Struthio camelus: one gene and its partner. The protein of the gene in region 1 interacts with the protein of each later gene in a biochemical or structural test. Links are inferred from orthologs where the notes say so. Each region holds a gene or a part of one and is shown on either strand. Other genes may lie near its edges.

Region 1 (10,170 bases):
CAACTGTGCCAGCTCCTCCACTTCAGGAGGAACACTGATCAGCTCTTAACCCACTCTGCTTGTTCCAAGCAGAAAGGGCAACTTAGTTTTTGCTTTCTCCTCTTTCTGACCATTTGTGCTCTCTGGGGTTCATCTGCACCTTTCCTGTGGTTAAATCATGTTCTGACTCATGGTCAGATGAGTTTATGTTCCTATAGCCCTGAATTAGTGCATTGAACATCCAGCTCTTGATTGTCATCGAGTTGGCCAGGCCATCAGTGCCCTATTTCCCTGAAGGTCCATGTGGTTCTTTCCATGCAAGCTGGAGGGCTTTAGCAAAGGCAGGCACAAAAATGAATGGAGGAGAAAAGGGACAAGAAGTAGTTATCCCTCCTCTCTGTCGTCACTTCTTCCACCATTGCAATAGCCTCTTGGACCTGGGCCTCCTACAAGCAGAGAGGGGGTGGCCAGAAAGGATTGGAGATGAGATAAAATTACTGGCTGAAATTTGGTTCTGTTAATACCTAAGGCAAGAACAGTGATGCTTCTTCTTCCTTTTGTTTTTTGTTTTGTTTTTTGTTTTTATTTATTCTTCTTCCTGCATATTTCTCCTTTCTGTGTGGTTTGTTTTAGGAGTGGCTGAGAAGCCTGGGTGATACAGGTCATGTCCGCTGGCAAGAGGGTTTTCAAAGTGCCCAGGTTTGAGGTGCAGTGTTTGTTCCAAATAGCTGGTCACTTTCAATTGATGCTTTTCATCACATCTTTTAGGAATAAGAAATGAAACATGCATAGATGTGCTTTTCAGTGTATCCTGACAGAAATACTTTATCTGCAAGGATGCTAGAGTTAATTCAGTCTCAGTGAATGCTCTGGTACTGCCACACTTTGTCAGCTGGGGCTTTGATGCAAGCCTCTCTATAACACAGCCATGAGAAGCATAAGGGTCCTGGCACGTTAAGGAGAGAGTGGCATAAAAATGCGATTAAATACTCAACAAATTGGAACAGGGATGAGATTCTGAGTCCACTGTACCCCAAAAAGGGCTATTTCCTTTGAGATCACTGGTGGGTTATATCTGCTGAAAAACGAGATTTCAGTGGGACCAGGCTCACTGAATCTCCTTCTGTCCCCTGGGTAGAACAGATCCATCGGAGTATAGATTTCCCATCTATACATGAGTACCCAAGCCTGCTCTGCCAGGCTGCTAGTAATTGCAGACTGGTCTTGCAAAACTTTGTGGTGACAGTGGATGAATGGGTGTTTTGTTCTAAAGTGACTGCTCCAGAATATATCACTGTCACTTCACCTAAACACCACCAGTCACTCTGATTTTCAGTAGCTGCTGGGACTTGCTGAAAACAGTAGGGCCTGTCATTCTGAGATTAAGGAGGGATTAGCTGTGTGATTTCAGCCAGCCTTAAAAGAAAGGTTAAACACTTTGGGAGGAGGAAGTGTGCATGTGTGTGCGTGCATGTGCGCATGTGTTCCAAAACAACAGATGGTTTCAATAAAGTTGCTCCCGCTGCTAGGAAGTGGCACTTCTTGACATTAGCAGAGCCATATCTCATCAGGGTTCTTGTTTCTACCAGCCTGTCTCAGCAAGGCCAAATCCACTGTACAGTATGGGGTAATCAGAAAAGGCACTCCAATATCTGCCCCATTAATTGCCCCCTGCCAGTCCTTGCTCTCCTCTGATGTAGCGCCCACTGTGCTCAGTGTGCTAAGATCAATTGGCTTTGAAGGGCAACTTCCTCTAATGATCTGCAATTCCCCCTACTTAAACTGCAACAAGAAGTGTCTTTTTAAAGATTCTATAAGAAATGTGTTATTTCTTGGAACCACTAAATAAAAAACTCTACTTCAATCAATGTATCGATTTATTAAATAATTGTGCAACTAAATTAATGTGCCCCTTGGTGACGGAATTGCAGAAAATGAGCAGTTTTATGCATTAAAGACAAACTGGTAAAAGATTGTTTTCCAAGGTTATATCGTTCCACAGTGAATATGAAAATTTTTCCAATTAAAATATGAGGGTTTTTCAGAGTGCGGTAGTATCAATTGTATTACTTCTCACAGATGCACAGTATGACTTGATTTAACACATACAAATAACAGAACAATTGTCAACGTTACTAATTGATACATCTTTGGAGATAGCAAATAATATTATTCATTTTACCAGTATTATATTTAAATTTTAGAGTTAAATAATTTTGCTGGAAATTGGCTATTTTTTTAATTGGATAGTTTCATGAAAAAAGTAACGGTTCAAAATGTTGCCATGAAAACCTAAAAAGCCCTTTGAAGCTTCTCCACATCTTTTTTCTTTTTTTTCTTTTTTTTTCTTTTTTTCTTTTTTTTTTTTGACTATGTGGTATGTGGGTGGAGGAGTGTGGGAAGATGGCGGAGTAGAGATTGATTCTTCCTCTCTCTATGCCCTCCATTTTTCAGTGAAAAAAAATCATACAGGGGAGGAGCAAGAAAAAAGTACAAGGAGGAAGCAATGACCTCTTCCTGAAATTTTGGACTAAGCATTTTATACAAAATAAAGATGGAAATATTCCTTTGGCTTAAAAACTGTTCCATTTTAAAGCTGTTTGACTGAAACCCTATTCATACTTTTCTTTAAATTTTGGTCCAGTGGTATTTATTATCTGCATTTTGCTCACAGGAAAAAAAACATCAGCAGGATCCCCAGAAGTGCTCTGGGCATTATCTCTTGTCCAGCAGGGGATAGTTTGGCCAGTTTCTCATCAGACGATCCAAGCTAAGAATTTGCCAAAGATCTACTGTGTTCCCGGTCCCTGTATTGAAGGTAGATGAAGCAAAACTTCCTAAATAATGTGTTCCGTATGTGTAACAAAGAATGGAAACATTTTCAATAACTGAATTGTATCTGCAAAAAAACTTTTTGATGGTATCCTCTAAGTTCTCAAATATCTGCAGAAAAGTATATTTTACTCATTTTCTCCTAAAACTTTTTCCTTCCCTCTCTTCTTGCTTGGTTTCTTGACAAAGACATTCTTCATTCTGAAGGCAAGGATCCCAGTAAAATTAGTGCCAGTTCTGAGTTCCTCAAGAGAGCAATGTTTGTGATCACTCATAAGACTCTGAATTCCTTCTCATTCGACATTTCATCTTTATTTCTGAGTCTCTGAATATCAAATGGGAAACAATACTTTCTCTACCAAGTGTTCTCAGCTGTGTGTTTACAAGCTGTATGTGCAGGAATGATGAAATAGGTGTGAAATTAAAGCCTTCATTAGAGCATTCCAGTCCCTCAATACCCAGGAAATGTCCTCGGTTTTGGATTCTTGCAAAATCTCAAATGGTATAATCAGTTGCAATGGACTGCTGGCCAGAAAAATAATAATAAAAAAAAAACTTACCTGAAATTATAATATTGATAAGGGAATTTACATCAATATATCTCAAAGGAATTCACAGCTCCTCATTGTCTTCTGGGAAGCCAAAACCCATGAAATCAAATGATTTGATCAACAGCATGCAGTAAATCAGTGTTAACACTAAGTCAATAACCCAGTTTTCTGACTCCTAGTTCTGTGCTCAAATCCTGGGCCTGTATTAATTCCCAGGCAAAACACAGACAAAGAGAGAAAGAAAGGCATGCAGCAGAAAAAAAGGGAGCTGGAACTCACTAAGCATCTTGTAATTTCTGAAAGTTTTGGTCCTAATGTTTGTATGCAATGCAATTGCAATTTATAATATCTAGCTTTTACATACTAAGTGACATAATTTGCTCAGGCAACATGCTTCTCATTTTACAGCTGAGAGACCGAGCAAATCATATGCAGACCTGGATGAAGAACCCTGGCCCCTGGATTTCCATGGGAGTGTTATATTGCGCTAAATCTTTTTAGTGCTAAGGAGTGCTAATGAGGGTTTCCAGAAAGAGGACTGAGTGATGAGGTATTAGGCACTTGAGAAAGACTTCTAACTAAGAAAAAGAGCTGCTATCAATACCTCTTACAGAATATTTGAACCTGTATAGCAATTTATTGCTTTGCCAAAAACCTTACAAAGGTAAGCTATTGCAAGAAATACTTTTCACTCTGAAGTACTGGCTCAGTGTGGTATCTATATTAAAAAACATTCTCCGTTTCACTCCTGCATTTCGCACACTAATCCAGCCCAGCCTAAGTGTCCACACCGAAGGAAATGAATTGCATCAGGCAATGTCATTTGCTAAAAGGTAAGAGTGGAGGTATTCTCCTTTCCTTTCGTTTTATATTTCTGGGGTCAATTTCACAACCCAGGCCAGTGCTGAATGGGGAAATTGGAAAACTGCAGAATCGATTTGCAGACGTGAAGTTCTATTTTCTTTTACACTTCTTTCATCACAGTCTCTATCATTCTCATGTTGTGTAGTATTATTATCGACAGCAGCCTGGACACCACTGATAATTGCTAAACTAGGGAAAAGCTATTCCTTGCAAGCGAAAGCAAAACCACAGAAGAGGCAGTCACGGAGCAGTACTAGTCTTGCTTTTAAATTCTTCTTATTTAGACTGTTGGTAATGTACCTATGGTATGTTATTTCTGAGAGTTAAAGGGAAATGTGTCTTTAAGATCTTATTTAAATGAATTTTCATTCACTTGCTTTATTGATTTTTACAAAACAAACTTCTCAGCCAACTATTCAGCTGCAAAGCTGAATCTATTAAAATAATCTATTTTAATAAAAACAGAAAAATCCACAGGCCTTCTGAATGCTTCTAGTATTTGGTAATTCTTCTTTCATTAAATGCATTTCACAAAGGAAAAAAAAAACCCACAGCAAATTTCTGGTAATGACTTAGTTATCAAGAATGAAACCAGTGGCTCGTCACTGCAGATAACCAAAAAAGCTGGCAACTATCAGCCACTCGATCTCTGGGACAGAGAGAGAAATGTACTTTGTAATATTAAAGGTCATTGGCAGCAAAATGGTTGCTAGAGGCATTTAGCTGCCTCTGTAGGTAGCACTGGCATTGCTAATCTGGCTGGCAGCAGCGTGCCGGGCGTTTGGGGGGGGGCGTACAAATACAGAACAAAATGACCACTCCTGGCATGCTGAGCTTGCAGCCTGAGTAGCTGGTTATATGTTTTGAGGAAAGAGCAGTTCGGCCCAAGCAAGTCCTGGATCTATCAGCCAAACGCCTCTGTGCCCTGACCGCGCCCTCGCTGTGTCAGAAGGCCTGCAAGTATTTTCTCTGTTTCGCTTCTCTCTGCTGGTTTTCGAGCGTGGGCCGTGGTGGCCGCTGTCCCCAGCCCACCCGGTGGGCGCCGCTGGGGCGACACCTCCGCCCTTGCTGGGCCTGGGAGCTTGTGCTGCAGGAGGCACTGCAAGGCCTGTAAAACTGATGAGGTAGGAATGAGAGGGGGGGGATTTATGTCCATGGAGGGGCCATTTCTGCTGGGTGCCCCCGGAGAGGGGAACACTCTGAGGGCAGCGGTGGCCAACAGCAGGGGTATGGAAAGGCGCCGCGGATCGCTCTCATGCCCCTGGCTGAGGGTGGAGGCCGCAGGGCCCCAAAATGGCCGCTCTGCCGAGCGACTCCCCCTCCCCTGCGCCAACCCCGCCGTTGCTAAGCGACGGGCAGAGCCTGCCCCCCCCCGCAGCCCCTCTTGGAAACTACAACTCCCAGGCACCCCGCCCCTCCGCGAGACTACAGCTCCCAGCATGCCCCAGCATGCGCCGGCACTACATTTCCCGGCAGGCCGCGGGGGCGGCGGCCAGTCAGCGCGCCCCAGGCTGGGCAGTGCGAGGAGCGGGGTTGGCTTCCGCGGTAGTAAGCGGGCCGCGGGGAGGAAGCGGGGCAGGGGAAGCAGCCCCGGTGACATTTCCTTTCGGGTTGCCCCCCTCTCCCGCTGCCGGAGCTGGGGCCCCGAGAATGGCAGCGTTAGGAGGTCGGTGCGCCTGGGCCGCCTAGGCGGAGCGGGTGGGTGGGGGAGGGGCGGCCGTGCTGAGGGGGGTGAGGAGCGGCCTGTGGGGGAGGGGCGGCTGTGAGGTAGGGTCTCTCCTGAAGGGTGCCTGTGGGGGGCGATGGGGAGGGTGCTGGGGGCCTCTATGCTGAGGGGCGTCTGTGGGGGGTACATTGGGAGGGTTCTGGGGGCCTCTGTGCTGAGGGGCGTCTGTGGGGGGTACGTGGGGAGGGTGCTGTGGGGCCTCTGTGCTGAAGGGCGTCTGTGGGGGGTACGTGGGGAGGGTGCTGGGGGGCCTCTGTGCTGAGGGGCGTCTGTGGGGGGTACGTGGGGAGGGTGCTGGGGGGCCTCTGTGCTGAGGGGCGTCTGTGGGGGGTACGTGGGGAGGGTGCTGTGGGGCCTCTGTGCTGAGGGGCGTCTGTGGGGGGTACGTGGGGAGGGTGCTGGGGGCCTCTGTGCTGAGGGGCGTCTGGGGAGGGTGCTGGGGGCCTCTGTGCTGAGGGGCATCTGTGGGGGGTATGTGGGGAGGGTGCTGGGGGCCTCTGTGCTGAGGGGCGTCTGGGGAGGGTGCTGTGGGGCCTCTGTGCTGAGGGGCGTCTGTGGGGGGTATGTGGGGAGGGTGCTGGGGGCCTCTGTGCTGAGGGGCGTCTGGGGAGGGTGCTGGGGGCCTCTGTGCTGAGGGGCGTCTGTGGGGGGTACGTGGGGAGGGTGCTGGGGGGCCTCTATGCTGAGGGGCGTCTGTGGGGGGTACATGGGGAGGGTGCTGGGGGCCTCTGTGCTGAGGGGTGTTGGGGGTGATAAGGAGGATGCTGGGGACTTCTGTGCTGAGGGGTGTCTGTAGGGGCGCATGGGGAGGATGCTGGGGGGTTTTGTACTGAGAGGTTTTGGCAGGTGAGTGCCCCACTGGGGGAGTGTCTGGGGGTGTGTGTGAGGGAGGGGTGCTGGGGGGCATCCTAGGTGTTCCTGTGGGGCAGGGGTGCTTGGGTGAGGCACCTGCAGTGGGTGGTGTCAGTGCTGGATGGGGAAGATTATACCTAGGAGGGTTGTTTGGGAGGTGTCTATGGGGTCTAGGGTTGGGGACAGGAAGTAGGAGGAAGCCTGGGTGAAGAGGGCCTGTTTACAGGCAGAGAGCAGTCTAGGGAGGTACCCTGTGCAGGGAGGTGTGCATGGTCATTTGCTTGTGGTGGGGAGTTTGTGGAAGGAAGGTTGTCTTTCGGGGATACCTTCACACTGTGTACGTTTGAGGGGAGCTGAGCAGAGAAGGAGGGCTGGGTACCCTTTGATGAAAGACTTCTGTGAGATTGGATTTGTGGAGAGTAGAGGAAGAAGGGAGGAGTTTTTGAGAGGTGAAAGTGGGCAGTATTTTGGGGGAGGAGATATCTAGGAGGAGCAGAGCAAAAGTTTCGGGGTGCAAATGGTGAGGAATATTAATAGATGAAGAAGATGCCCATGGCAGGGAGAAAAGAAAGGTGATGAGAGTGACTGGGAAGGTTTCACAGCATGAAAAACTGTAAGATGGGTAATGCCATGGATTGGGCAGAAATACTGGGACATGAGAATGAGTATCAATTCTTGGCCATTTCCACCAGTGCTGGAAACTGCCTTGATTGCATGTGCTGGACGAGTAACTGGCAAGGTTGGAGAAGAACTATTCTGAAGCTTCTCAATGGTAGAAAGGAAATGAAACTCTCATGCAGTACTGGATACATAAGAGTTTTCTTACGTGTCAGAACTTTGCTATGAAGTGTTGGAATTGATCTAGCAAAGTATTATTTGCTTGGAATTTACTCAGTAGTGATTAACATTGTTTCTGAAAATGTGCAAGTGCAGTTCTCCCCTTCCCTTATGACTTGCTTGTTTTGAATGTTGCAGCTCTGTTATTGTAATAAAGAAAAGTAAGATCTCTGAAAGGAGAGCTTAAAGTATGGCATTTACTGTTTTATTTGGGGAAGGGTGTTTTCAAGACTTTTCCTAACAGTAGTTTGAAGAGATATTGACAGTATTTGGCCCCACGCCTGCTATAAGAAATGTGTGCCCGTTGGCAGATCCATACTGATTTAATTGGGACTGTCTCAAAGTTGTGTCTGCGTTCTGATTAAGAGAAATTGTAGCTGCTGAATACCACCATGGGATAGGATTTAAACCTTCTGTTCATCATTCTTGCTGTTCACTGTCCTTTCTTCCCCTTTGTGTAGCCCTAAATGTGTTGGAGGTGTTCTCGGTTGCAGTCAGCAGCATTACCTGATTTGCAACTCTTACTAACTAATGTTTTTCTTTTGAGCTCTCCTTTGTTGTTGTTGCGCAAAAATCTTGTTACTATTATGAAATAGATTTTTGCGCTTGAGATATTGCTCAATTTTCGCTTTGGGATTTACTTCATTAAGCATATTATGTGTTATTTAGAAGCATATGCTTCACTTAACTTGTTTTTACAACGATGTGACTTCCTTCACACCTGAGTAATTTTAAATTGTAATAGTATTTTATTTGTGAAGAAAAACATGTAATCATGTATACAAATTTATGTGACTTTATCTAATAGATTTGCTGCTCTACATACAAAGGCTGTTTCTTTATGACTGTACTATTTCCAATCATTTGTGCAAGTTAGTAACCAGTTCCTGTTTCAGTGTAAAGTTAAGTACATACATGCAGACATGCCTAATGGCAATCTAGGTTGAGGGTTTATTTTATTCTTCTACGTGCTTTATTCTTCCCATTTTACAAGGCAATAAGCATTGTGATACTTGGTGGTTTGTTTTTTTTTAAGTGATATAAGTAAATATTTTGTATTTATTACAAATGTTCTTTCTTAAAATTAATAGTTATAATTTCATAGATTAATTTACATAATAGATTGGAAAAGGGGAAAAATTGAAATATCTTTGTCTTTAGTCATCACTGAAAGTTTTAGACGTGCTGTTAATGGATGATGGCACAGAAGAAGTCAGGAATATTAGCCTATGCTAATTATTCTTAGTGCATGCCCTCTTTCTGTCTGTGTGTGTATACAGTAAAACTGTTTCTATTTTACTTTATAGAGCCAAGTAAGTTTTCACAAACACTGAATGGAATTCCTTCTTCAAACACAGTCAGCAGCGGAATGGACCCCTTCCATGCTTGCAGTATTCTTCAACAGCTTAAAACCATGTATGATGAAGGACAGCTGACAGATATCGTAGTGGAAGTGGATCATGGGAAAACATTCTCCTGTCATAGGAATGTTCTTGCTGCAATCAGTCCTTATTTCAGGTATAATGAATATATGGTCCAGTGTTCTAGTGGAAAGTGAAATTATAGCTCATTATTTTCCATATGTGATATTGAAAAAAAAGAAAAAACCACACACACATCTTTAACAATATTCCTTGTAACTGTCAATGACCGTATAGTGGGCTTAGTAAGTAAATATTTTTATTCTTTTAATGCCAATGAATTATCAGTATCTGTTTTTTTCAAAGGAGCATTTCTCTGGACAAAATCTCATGTACTTAAAAAATCCTCCAGTATTGAGGGACTCTTGCATACAGTAACAGCACAGTTCAAAGCACAGTTCAACTATTTGTTTCCTTTTAAAGTTATGTATTCTAGCATGCTAGAATACATACATAAGAAATAACATGTTGGACATTGCACTTAAAGACTTGTTAAGAACTTAAGAATTTTGCTTATAAGCTGAGTAATTTTTCATGTACAGTTAGTGAGATGCTTAAGTAAAGAATTCCAGTTTGACAATTTTTGTTTCAGGAAGTCTAGAACTGCTCTTACATTTAGGTGCCCAGGCAGGACAGCGTAACGTCAGCGATAATTGTATTTGTGCTGGTGTAAGGACAGGCACATTGGGATTAGCTGTTCAATATAGTTTGATTTCTTTTACCTGTAGTTAGAAGGTGATTAAAAATAAACTGCTAAATATTTTTTTTCTTTTGCAGATCTATGTTCACTAGCGGCCTTACGGAGAGTACCCAGAAAGAAGTTCGTATAGTTGGTGTTGAAGCAGAGTCAATGCATTTAGTATTGAACTATGCATATACCTCCAGAGTAATGCTGACAGAGGCCAACGTTCAAGCTTTGTTCACTGCAGCTAGTATCTTCCAGATCCCTTCCATACAAGATCAGTGTGCTAAATATATGATCAGTCATTTGGACCCACAGAACTCCATTGGGGTGTTTATCTTTGCTGATCACTATGGTCATCAGGAGCTCAAAGAAAGATCACAAGACTACATTCGTAAAAAGTTTCTGAGTGTCACCAAAGAGCAA
Region 2 (10,696 bases), on another chromosome or scaffold:
CACTTCATTTCATCTCAAGGACCCAGGAGCCGGTGGAAATTTGGGAACCGTTTTGCTCTCTGGGCCTCCTTGCAGGGAGCTTCCCAGCTCTGACCAGCTGAGCACGGTCAGGGTTGATTGGTCACCTCAGGCCAATCTGTGCCCAGACGGGGTGACGACTTGCTGCATGGGACCCTCTCCTCTGAGCCAGCCCACATGGCACTCCAGGGCACAGTCCAGGAGAGATGGATCAAAGCCCTCCTGACAGGGGCAGTCAGAGTGGGGGAATTCAGCTCAGCTTCCTTTCTGAACTGGGCCATGCAAATTCTCCTCCTAAGCACAGCCTATACTTTCAGCCGACTTCATGGCTGCAGGGACCAAGATTTCTGACTCCGCAGAGCGCTCACTTCAAATAGTGAACAGACATAACACGTGAAGCCTGTTCCTCAGGCAGCTGGGAGGAGGGGAAGCTCTGGGAACGATTCGCAGCGGGAGGGGCAACAGCTCCCCTCTGGCCCCGCTATGCGGATACGGGGCAGCAGTGACGGAGCATATCTCGGCTGACCCAGGCAGCTCTGCAGCTGGCAATGGGATTGACCCAGCCTTGGAGCAACGAGAAAGGTCGTTAATCCCTAACAGGACAAAATCCCAACGTGTCAGCAGGATAACCCTGCTGGATCTTGCCTTGAGGTAACATACAGGTCAGATTCATAAACCAGGCCAGGGCTCTGATCACGAGACTCACCAGAGTACCTGCAGCATGGAACAAGGTCCCTGTCCCAGGCCACCCATTCCACTTCCTGGCTGGAGGATCCTGCCCCAGAGCAGGGGCAGGACGAGCGGCTTGTCCGCAGCTCATATTTTGGCTGAAATCAGCAGCGATGAAACGGATCAGGTGAGGAGCTGCACCAGCTGAGAAGGCGGCAAAGTACCTTTTCTGTTGTCTCTGCTCCACCACTGTGGTGCAACCACAAGCAGCTGGAGTCAGAAACTCCTTCAGGCACGCAGCCTGGGATCCCTCGGTATCAAGACCCCATACGCACTGCATACCCAGCATGTCTAAAGATCACTAAGGATCACCCCAGCATCTCCAAGGATAAAATCATGACGCCCAGTTCGTAATTGTGCAACCTCCAAAAGACAGAACCAACCCCATATTGTCAAACTGCACCTCACTTAGGGTCACCAAACAAGTAGGTCTGACCAGTTCACACAATGATGACGTGCCCCTCCCTGCTACAACGCACTAAGGCCAGAGACTTATACATGGACAAACACACGCAACTGATGATTGCAGCTTAAACAAGGGAGAGCAGAAAGATGTCCCTGCAAGCCCAAGGGTCCAACAGGCATGCCTAGAGACTGTCAGCTTCCATACGGCACAAAGGAGGAATGACAGCATTTTCCAGCCAGCTAATGTGCTCTCTGAACTCTGGTTTGGCCTGGACACAGGCAGTCTTTCAGAATGGAATAGGTGTGGACAAGTTCAACCCCAAGCAATAACCAAATAACATGTGAAAGTGGCAGCAAGCAAAGCTCTCAGCTTGTAAGGCTGAGGGCATGGACAGGGCGGTGCGCTTATTAGCGGACTGAGCTGAGCTGGCTACTAAATTACAGCCATTTTATCCCCTGTCTGGATTTGAAACAGCTTCCTGCAATCTCTTTGTGACTCAGTGTCTTGGCATGGAAAATGCATACCCGAGAGGTTAGCTTTTGAAATCCACCAGGGACATTTCACCTTCCTAAAATAAAGAGTGGGCAAAATATTTTCAACCTCCTTCCAAAAAACGCACAGAAAAATCACTCCTTAATAACTGTACGTTGTTGGGTCTCAGCTGGCTTTGGGCTGGGGTAGATTTTCCTATTTATAATCATGCAGCTGTTTGCTGACTGAATAGCTCTATTTATTATTTGCCATGTTTACTAAACGCCTGAAATACCTTCTCTACCTGTAATTGTGGTGCAGCATATATTTTTTTTCGGATTCATTCATTCAAGTGGGTTGTGTTACTACCAGGCCCTGATCTGCGGCTTGCTAAGGGCCGTTCATGGTTTGAGGGTATGAAGCTTTGGACTCAAGTGACCCTGAACTGCAGCAGACCTGTAAAGAGCCACTTGGAAAAAAATGGAGGCATTTTTAAAGCCATTTGTGCATGGGCACTCAGGGCTTTAACGTACTCTGTCTGCCTTCCTAGAGAGCAATCCCTCCTGAACGCGTTTGCTCCCCGTTTATGTTCAACTCTGTCTTCTTCCCATCCATGTGCTACCCAAATTGCTCAAAGCCTTATCTTTCATGCTCGCTAGCATACGTGAGTCCTGAACCTCAGGAGAGGAGAAGCCTCAAAATTCACTCAACAGAGTCTTGTTGGACTCTGGGAAGTCTGACACGAGGAGAAACTTACGCAACAAACTCCCCCGAGCATGCTGAAAAGCATCATTCCTTTGGTGCGAAGAGAAAACAGAGGGCTCTGGAAAATCTGGCCCTGCTGAACACCTTCAACTTACCTCCAAAACAGGCCCTGAGCCCTGACAAAACGCCCTGCAGACCCTTGCTGGGCCTCCCTTGTCATCCCTCTGTCATGAGGTGATGGGTCTTTCCATAGCGCCCCACATCAGTGAGCCATCAGCATTTACTCCCTGAGACTCTACAGGCAGATGCGCCGCAGCGCGCAGGGGTGGCAGCAGACAAGGGTTGGTTTAGTTTGGGGACTTTTTTAAAAATTTTAAATAAACAAAACAAACAAAAAGGTTCCTGGAAGTATAAAGCCATTCCAGATGGCACCATGTCAAAGTAGGTCAAAATCTGTTCCACAGTATACCTGCAGCAGGCAGCGTCCTTTGTAAATCACAGGGGCTGAATCCCATCCCAAGCTCCTTCTCAGAGGCCCCCGACATCATCCTCTCCAAGCCACTGCCCCAGGCTGTCAGCTCTACGGGCTCAGTCCTGGCCTGTCCTGCTCAGTTCATTCGCCTGGAAACCTCCCCAGGAAACACACTTCAGTGCTTTGCTGTCCTGAGGTGCTTTTCTTACCTGCGTCTTCCACTCCGGTTAAGAGAATCAGGTCTCCACACCAGGCCTCGAGCTGATAGGGCCTTGTACCACTTTGCAAGGGACATTTCAAAGCAAAGGCAGTCTTGCTGGAACACCGTCTTGGTTCAGAGGCCTGTAGCTCTCACAGAGATGCCGCATCCACATTTACTCTGAGCATCAATAACCATTTGTGTAGGGGGAGGTCACCCTTAAAAATGACGAGCCAGGTCTGTCTTTCATTTACAGGAGCTGTAAAACTGCCACCTGGCCAGTGGCTTTACTGCTGTGGATGATGCTCGTGTCAAAGAAGTTTGGTGCAGGAGCCAGCTGGAGCACAGCCAGTTTTATATTTAATCTTGCCTATAAATACAAATAAAGGCTCTGTATTTTGAGTGAGTGACAGACACACCATGGACATTATTAAACCTTCCAAAAATAAACCTCTACCAAAGTGAAGGGAGCCAGATTTTTCCTGGAAAGTATCAGCATGGGGAGGGGGAGAGTGGTAACAGAGCAGCCCCTCTGCTGCGCGGCCTCTGCCCAACAGTTCTTTGTGCCATGGAGCCGTCTCATCTCTTCTTGTCGTTTGCCTGTTTTAGTCCAAAAATGCCCCGGCAGCTCCTCAGAACAGCTTAACGTCCATCCAACATTAAATCAGTCCTGAGTCTTCAGCCCCTGAGTCCTCCGGGAGCAAGGCCTCTGCCCTCAGGGCCCAGAAAGATTTAGTGGATGGTGCTGTAATAATCACCGCCCTGTCCACATCCCTTCCACCATCTGCCTGTCCTCTTCGTTGGAGGCGGCCGATCCGTATTTGGGGTAGTGGAATGGGTCACAAGTCCACTTCTGGGACACCACATTTCGCAGCTGCCGTGTTATCTAAAACCACCATCAATTTCAGCTAAGTGTTAACCCACTTCATGCAGAAACTTCACTCTGCCAGCCTTGGAGGGGTGCTAATCCCTGGCAATGAGCACAGCCAACAGCGGTATGCATGTGTGAGTGTCCCGCAGTATTTGGTGGCTTCTCTTCATCTCCTGCAGAGCTGTACAACGATGCAACAGTCCTAGCCCTTCTTTTCTCCCTTTTCTCCTTCCCCAGAACAGCACTTTCAGCATTCCTTGCTTCATGAAAAAGGTCCAAAATGCACCCCACTACACATCCTACAAAAGAGCCAAGCGGCAAATTCAAAGTGTCAATCTGTACTGCAAATATCTCATGAGCACTAAGCCAATTTCAAGATTTTCACGAGTCTGAGCTACACCACTGTGCACCTCAGGTTCGCAAGACTGCAGGAGAATGCTTAAAATTAAGGCTCTGTCCACTCCTCTTGGAAATAACTTCTGGGCACTGCTTAGAAGAGGGCGGATTGCTCTCATGAAGGTGTCAGGACTTCCACAGACACCACTTGCCTGTGTTTGAAGCAGCAGCGCCTGCTCCGTCTCCCAGACAAGGCTGTGTTCTCCACCTGGCCTGGTTCAGTTCTGGCTGGTCCCAAGGTGCAGCTTCCCTGGCCCAGTTCGATTCTGGGTTTGGTTCCCAGGCACGGCTCCTCCACATGACACAGCTGGGTCTGGCTCTTGGGTACAGTTTCTTTGGCGTTATTTGGTTCCCGATTCGGTTCCTGGGCACCTCCATCCAGCCCAGTTTGGTTCTAGGTTCTCTTCCCCCAACCCGGTTCAGGTCCCAGTTTGGCTCCCCTGCCCTGGCTGGTTCGATTCCTGGGTGCAGCTCTCCCTGCCCAGTTCAGTTTGGTTGCTGGGAGCATTTTCCCTAGCCTGATTCAGTTCCAGGTTTGTCCAGGTGGAGCTTCTCTGTACTGGTTCAGTTCCCTTAGGCTGGTCCAGTTCAGGTCTGGGTACCGCTCGCATTTCATGTCCCAGTTCAGCTCCCCTGCCCTGGTTTGGCTCTCGGCCCGGTGCGGTTCCCAACTCGGCTGCCCCAGCCCAGTTTGGTTTGGTTCCTGGTTCCACTCAGCGCTTGGGCCAGCCCACTGCAGCTCCTGGTGCGGCTCCCTGGCCCAGCCCGGCCCGGTTCAGCTCCCGGCCTGGCTGTCCTGTGGGCTCAGCTCCTGATTCGGCTCCCTTGGCCCAGTTCATGTTCCAGCTGGGCTCGGCTCCCCCAGCTTGGCTTATTATCCAATTCAGAGCCCCCGGCCCAGTTCGGTCCTTAGCTCAGTTCCCCTGGCCTAGGGCTCGGGGCCCTGTTCGGCTTCCCAGGACCAGTTCTGGGCCGAGTCTGGCCCCTCCCAGCCCAGTCCGGCTCCTAGGGCCCGGTTCGGGGCCTAGTTTGGCTCCCCAGGACCAGTTCAGGGCCGAGTTCGCCTCTGAGGGCCCGGTTCGGGGCCTGGTTCCACTCTCTCAGCCCGGTTTGGGGCCTGGTTTGGCTCCGAGGGCCCGGTTCCGCTCTCTCGGCCCAGTTTGGGGCCTGGTTTGGCTCCGAGGGCCCGGTTCCATTCCCTCGGCCCAGTTTGGGAACGGGTTCGGCTCCGAGGGCCCAGTTCCGTTCCCTCGGGCCGGTTTGGGGCCTGGTTCAGCTCCCCAGGACCACTTCTGGAGCGAGTTCGGCTCCTAGGGCCCGGTTCAGGGCGCGGTTCCGTTCCCCCGGCCCGGTTCGGGGTCCAGCTCGGCTCTCCAGGACCAGTTCCGGGCCGAGTTTGGCCCCTCCCAGCCCGGGTCGGCTCCTAGGGCCCGGTTCGGGGCGCGGCCCGGTTGCCGGTTCGGCTCACCGGTCCGTACCCAGCCGCGGCACCGCACTACATTTCCCAGAAGCGCCGCGGGCGCGGCGGAAGAGGAAGTGACGCAGGCGGGTCAGCGGGGGTCGCGCGGGCATGTGGCCGGCCCGGCAGCGCCCCGGGGGCTCGCCCTGAGCGGGCCGGGCGCGCTATGGCGGCGGGCGGCCGCGGGCAGCGGGAGCTGCTGGCCCTCATCCACCAGCACCTGCTGCGCGCCGGCTACGCCCGGGCGGCCCGCGAGCTGCAGGCGCAGCTGGGCCAGGTAACGGCGGCGGCGGGGCCTGGCGGCGGGGCCTGGGCAGGGCAGGGCAGGCCGCGGCGGCGGCGGCCTTACGTACACGTGCCCTATATGTGCCGTTATATATGTGCTTCTGGGGCCGTATGTGCGCGGCAGCGAGGGGAGGAGGCGGCGGCCCGCGGCGGGGTAGGCCTCCGGGAGAGGAGGGCTCGCTGGGGGAGCGCCTGCACGCGGGGAGGAGGTGTCCCCTCTGCCCTCCCCGCTCGCCGCGTTCCCCGGCGGCTGCCGACTGAGCTGCGCTCTCTCTGCTTCCACAGAAACTGCTTCCTTCCCTGTCGACCTCTCTGGAGGAGATCTTTACCCACTGGCAAAAGTAAGTCTGAGGAGGAGATTGCTGAGGAACGCATTCCAGACCGCGTTAGCAACCAAGCCGTGTTACGCTTGTGGCCTCTATTTGTTGGAACTTCCTTTTGTCAGGGTGTTTCCCACAGTAAGCATGCTCCGGGAACTTTCCTGCTAGGCCCTGCTTTCAGATAGATTTCTTTGAGATGTTAAAAATTAAGTTAAAATTTCTTCAGCTTGGGGATGAGTTGTTGCTCTGTTTTTGAGAAACTGATGCTGTTCTTGCCTGTTGGGGGTGATACTGGAGTATTACAGGGGTTAGAACCATGCTCTACTGGCAAAAAGTCTCTTTTTCGGTTTCATTTCACTTTCTTTTTTAAAGCCATGTGCTTTTCAGGGATGTGGACGCTGGCCAGTGTGGGCTGAACACGTGAACTGCCTATGAGCAGAGGCTGCTGAATCAGAACTGTCAAAGCTGTTACAGGGAAGTTACATCTTGGCATAGGTCACATAATTTATGATTTAAAGGAAGGCACTTTAGGTTTCAGCCTGCCTTTGCACGTGCTTACGTGTTTAGTCCCGATGGCTTCACACTTAGTTATTCAGCTGAATACCCCCCACCATGAATGTCTGCAGCCTGAGGCTTTCACATCTGCAGCATGGGATGATATTTGCACCCGTTCTCTGTGCTGCTTGCTTTATTTTGATGCAGAAGTGCATTGCTGCAGAGATGGGCATGGTTGAAGCCACAGAGCCAGGTTAACGGGGGATCAGTGTAGCTGTTTTTCTGTGCCTGTGGAGTCTGGCCAGCGCTGCAGAGCACCTGAGTGAAGATACTCTTCAGTCTGGCTGTGCTAGCAGCCTTGGAGGGTGGGTGTTTGCTCCAGAAGTACTTTTTGCTAAAATGCCTTGGGCTGCGGGCACCCTGCTCTTGCGTCTCCACGGTTTTCTTAACTGAGCAGGAGAGATGCTGTGGGACCAGCTGGAGATATAAGAGTGTGGAATTGGGTTTGCGGTTCTTCCCCATAACAATGTGTTGCTGTCTTGGGTATTGATGCTGACTGTTCTGTGTGCCAGATATCCTGGGCTCTGCTGCTCACCCTTCCAGACACTTTTACTTTTAAACCGTGGAGGGCAACAGGAACTCGCATCACGTTTAACTCCTCTTTCTCTGGTGTCGCCCTTATGTTGTAGTTCTTCCTGACAGGTCTGCCTCTTATTCCTTGTCTCCCCTTGTTGTTATGTCTGGGCTGGAGTCAAAATGGGGGACGTATTGACCAGTTGTTTGGTTTATCCAGGAGGTGCCCTGCTTAGCTGAAGAGGTCTCGTGCGAGTGAGCTGTGATTCTCACGTCTTGTTTCACTTCACAGGCTTTTGGCCTCAAAATGCCTTTCCCCAGATTCTGTGCTGCAGCTCTTCTCTGTCTGCCTGAGGTCATCCTTGATGCTCTCCTTAAACTCTTTCAGAGTGAATTTAACAGTTGAGATTTGCGGTTATTTAAGAATGGCCTCCTTCTCCTATGTAAGAATGGGCTATGTTTAGTCCTGGAGTTCACTGGAAAGACAGGTAGAGCTGCCTGATGCTTGGGTGAGGTGGCGAAGCTGGACTGGCTCAGCCCCAGAAGCAGTGGGAGCAGTTAGACAGAGTAATGCTGCAGTTAATTGCTCTGGGCTGCTGTAGGGCCAGTGCTTGAGGGCAGGCGATGCTGTACTCTCGTGCAGTGCATCCCTGAGCCCTGGTCAAATGCAGTGTGAATTCCCACAATAGTCTCTATATCATCAGCTGCCACCGAATTAGGAAGGCGTTGGAATATAGTAGCTGCTTGCATGGCTTGCCCTATGTTTTGTTGAAATTATTATTGGAATAGTTGCAGGCCTGCCTGCAAAAGAGTTGCTGATACAGCTATGCCAGTGAAACCCTCCTCCTCTGCACCCTGACTTTTATCTCCTTTTGGCTGAAGTGTCCAAATACAAATGGCTTGTGAAGCCTTTACTTTCAGTTGCCGTGGCCTCACAGAGTACCAGAACCTGTCTGGGGTTCTCTGCTCTAACCCTGGGGTAGCATCGGTTAATTGCTCTTTCTGGCTATAGCTGTCTCGTGGAGACTGAATTTGTTCTACAGGTTGCCTTTGCTGTGGTGAGCGTCAGCCTGGCTAAATATGTTTTTGCTTCTCTGCTAATGTGAGAAAGATGCTTTCTTTCCTTGTCCTAGGTAAAATTTGTATCCAGTAACTCCTCCAAGTGTTGAAAGGATATATTGCTCTTAGGAGTTGCCTGAGGAGGACAGAGCTGTATCTTGCAGGTTACCTATGGAGCTCTCCCCTCCCCTCAGGAGTCGAGGAGGAGGAATGACAGTGCTTGTCCTGAGGCTTGTGTCAGACCTGAGAGTGGCTGAATTAATGAGTGTTCAGATTTGTTCTTTTTTCAGGAGCTGTTCCCCTTTTTGACGCCTCCTCTCTACTCTTATCAAATCTGTTTCCTCAGAACTCCCTCCAATTCCAGGAGAAGGAAGGTGAGTGATGTGGAGGCAGTCATCCCAGAAAAGATCAGAGTTCCTGATCCTGTGAGCAGCTCTGAGAGCTCAGAGAAAGAAGAGGATGAGAAAGAGAAGACAAAAGCTGTCAAGGGTAGGAGCCTTTTATCTTCCCATGTTTTTACTGAGTAGGACTGTGTAAGAGCAGCCCAGTTTTACTGGCCAGAGAAAATGCTTGTAAAGTGATGGCTATTTCCTGATGCTTCTAGGAAAATCACAGAATCGTTTAGGTTGGGAGGGACCTCTGGAGATCATCTAGTCCAACCTCCCTGCTCAAGCAGGGTCACCTAGAGCATATTGACCAGGATCACATCCAGGCGGGTTTTGAATATCTCCAGGGAAGGAGACTCCACTACCTCTCTGGGCAACCTGTTCCAATGCTCTGTCACCCTCACAGGGAAGAAGTTTTTTTCTCAGGTTCAGATGGAACTTCCTGTGGTTCAGTTTCTGCCCGTTGCCTCTTGTCCTGTTGCTGGGCACCACGGAGAAGAGGCTGGCCTCATCCTCTTGACATCCTCCCTTCAGATACTTGGACACGTTTATGAAAATGGGACAACTAATTGAGCACCTCTGTCTCTGTAGAGTTTCTGAGGAGCAGAGATGCCTGCTAAAGCTAGCAAAAGCCTGTGGAATTGGATCCTGGTGTTAGGAGCTAGGTTTAGTTTGCTCCTGTGGAAAGTAAGTCAAAGATATAGGGAGAAAGCATATCTCTTTGTCTTCACTCCTGCTCTCTTGCTCTTCCTCTCCTATAGATTTTTCCTTTCTTCCTCTCACAGAGTCTGCTTGATTGGTGTGCACGAGCATAGCTCCTTGGAGAAGTGTCCCCTTCTGATATGAATGTAGCTGCCCCAGTCACTGCCCTGTAGCTGTACGTGTTTGTGTCCCCATTGACCCGTATCGGAGTCTGGCACTGGCAGAAGCCCACCCCGAGAGTAGTGTAAGTTAATGTCTCTGGGGAGGCTGAGACCAGGGACGCACGCTACTCAAGTTTGAGTAGACCTGTATCCTGTTGGGTATGGATCAGCTCTGAAGCAAGTGCTGTCACCACTGTTGCTATCACCCCTTCCAGCCCTGAAAGTTACGTCACTGCCTGGATTCAGCACTTACCAGGTTTCCAGCTAACTTGCATAGGTACAGTCCTCCCCCTTAGGGTCTGTCCTGTTCCCAGCATCCATCACTGGTAGGTTAGGACAGCAGGTTTGGCAGTGTCTCACACTAGCGTGGTGACTGCACCTGAAGCTACCACTCTCAAAAGTCCAGCCGAGCGTCCATTGTTCTTCACCTCAAGCTAAGCTTGCTGAATTGAAGCTCAGCAAGGAGCCATTTTCCCTGAATTTGTTGAATGTGTGAAATGGCGTCTTTGTGATGTGGTAGAATTGATAGTTATGGCTCATCGGGGCGGGGGGAGAAGAGATGAGCGTCCTAGCTTGGATAAAGCCTTGGGAGCCTAACGGTGCCCAGTGGGGAGCATCATCTGATCAGTTGTGGCATCTGTTAGGTCAGCAAAGGAAGTTTTCCCTCACAGGTGAGGGAAGGAAGACTTTCTAGTTGATCTGGAAAACCAATTCCCTCTGAGGTGGGAATGGATTCCCTAGCTAATGTGTGAGGCATTAGCTTAAATAATGTGACTTAAAAACCTGTGAATCTGAAATGTTTTGGCTGAGTCTCATCTGCGGCAGACCAGCCCTTGGAAACATGTAACTCTTGGCAGGTTTTTTTGTCTCAGTTGTGGGGAGAAGGGGAGCAAAGTGCCTGCCTGTTGCAAGGGCAGTGGCTCTAGTGTTGGGGCAGGTGCAAAGATAGGGCCTTGTCCTGTCTGCTGGGGCCTTCCCACGGACCAGAG

What was found. The genes of interacting proteins can lie anywhere in the genome.
Region 2: the proteins of KBTBD8 (region 1) and TCOF1 form a complex in vitro, tested with the Homo sapiens proteins (2 studies listed by BioGRID, with this or other methods). The link is inferred for Struthio camelus from reciprocal best matches to the Homo sapiens genes KBTBD8 and TCOF1.

What each region holds. Positions count from the first base shown.
Region 1 is NC_090955.1:13,899,087-13,909,256, forward strand, and holds the start of KBTBD8 (kelch repeat and BTB domain-containing protein 8), read left to right. Parts: upstream 1-5,691; 5' UTR 5,692-5,876; coding exon 5,877-5,892; intron 5,893-8,948; coding exon 8,949-9,159; intron 9,160-9,839; coding exon 9,840-10,170. UniProt on the Homo sapiens protein: Substrate-specific adapter of a BCR (BTB-CUL3-RBX1) E3 ubiquitin ligase complex that acts as a regulator of neural crest specification.
Region 2 is NC_090954.1:7,460,518-7,471,213, forward strand, and holds the start of TCOF1 (treacle protein), read left to right. Parts: upstream 1-5,799; 5' UTR 5,800-5,892; coding exon 5,893-6,003; intron 6,004-6,296; coding exon 6,297-6,352; intron 6,353-8,804; coding exon 8,805-8,947; intron 8,948-10,696.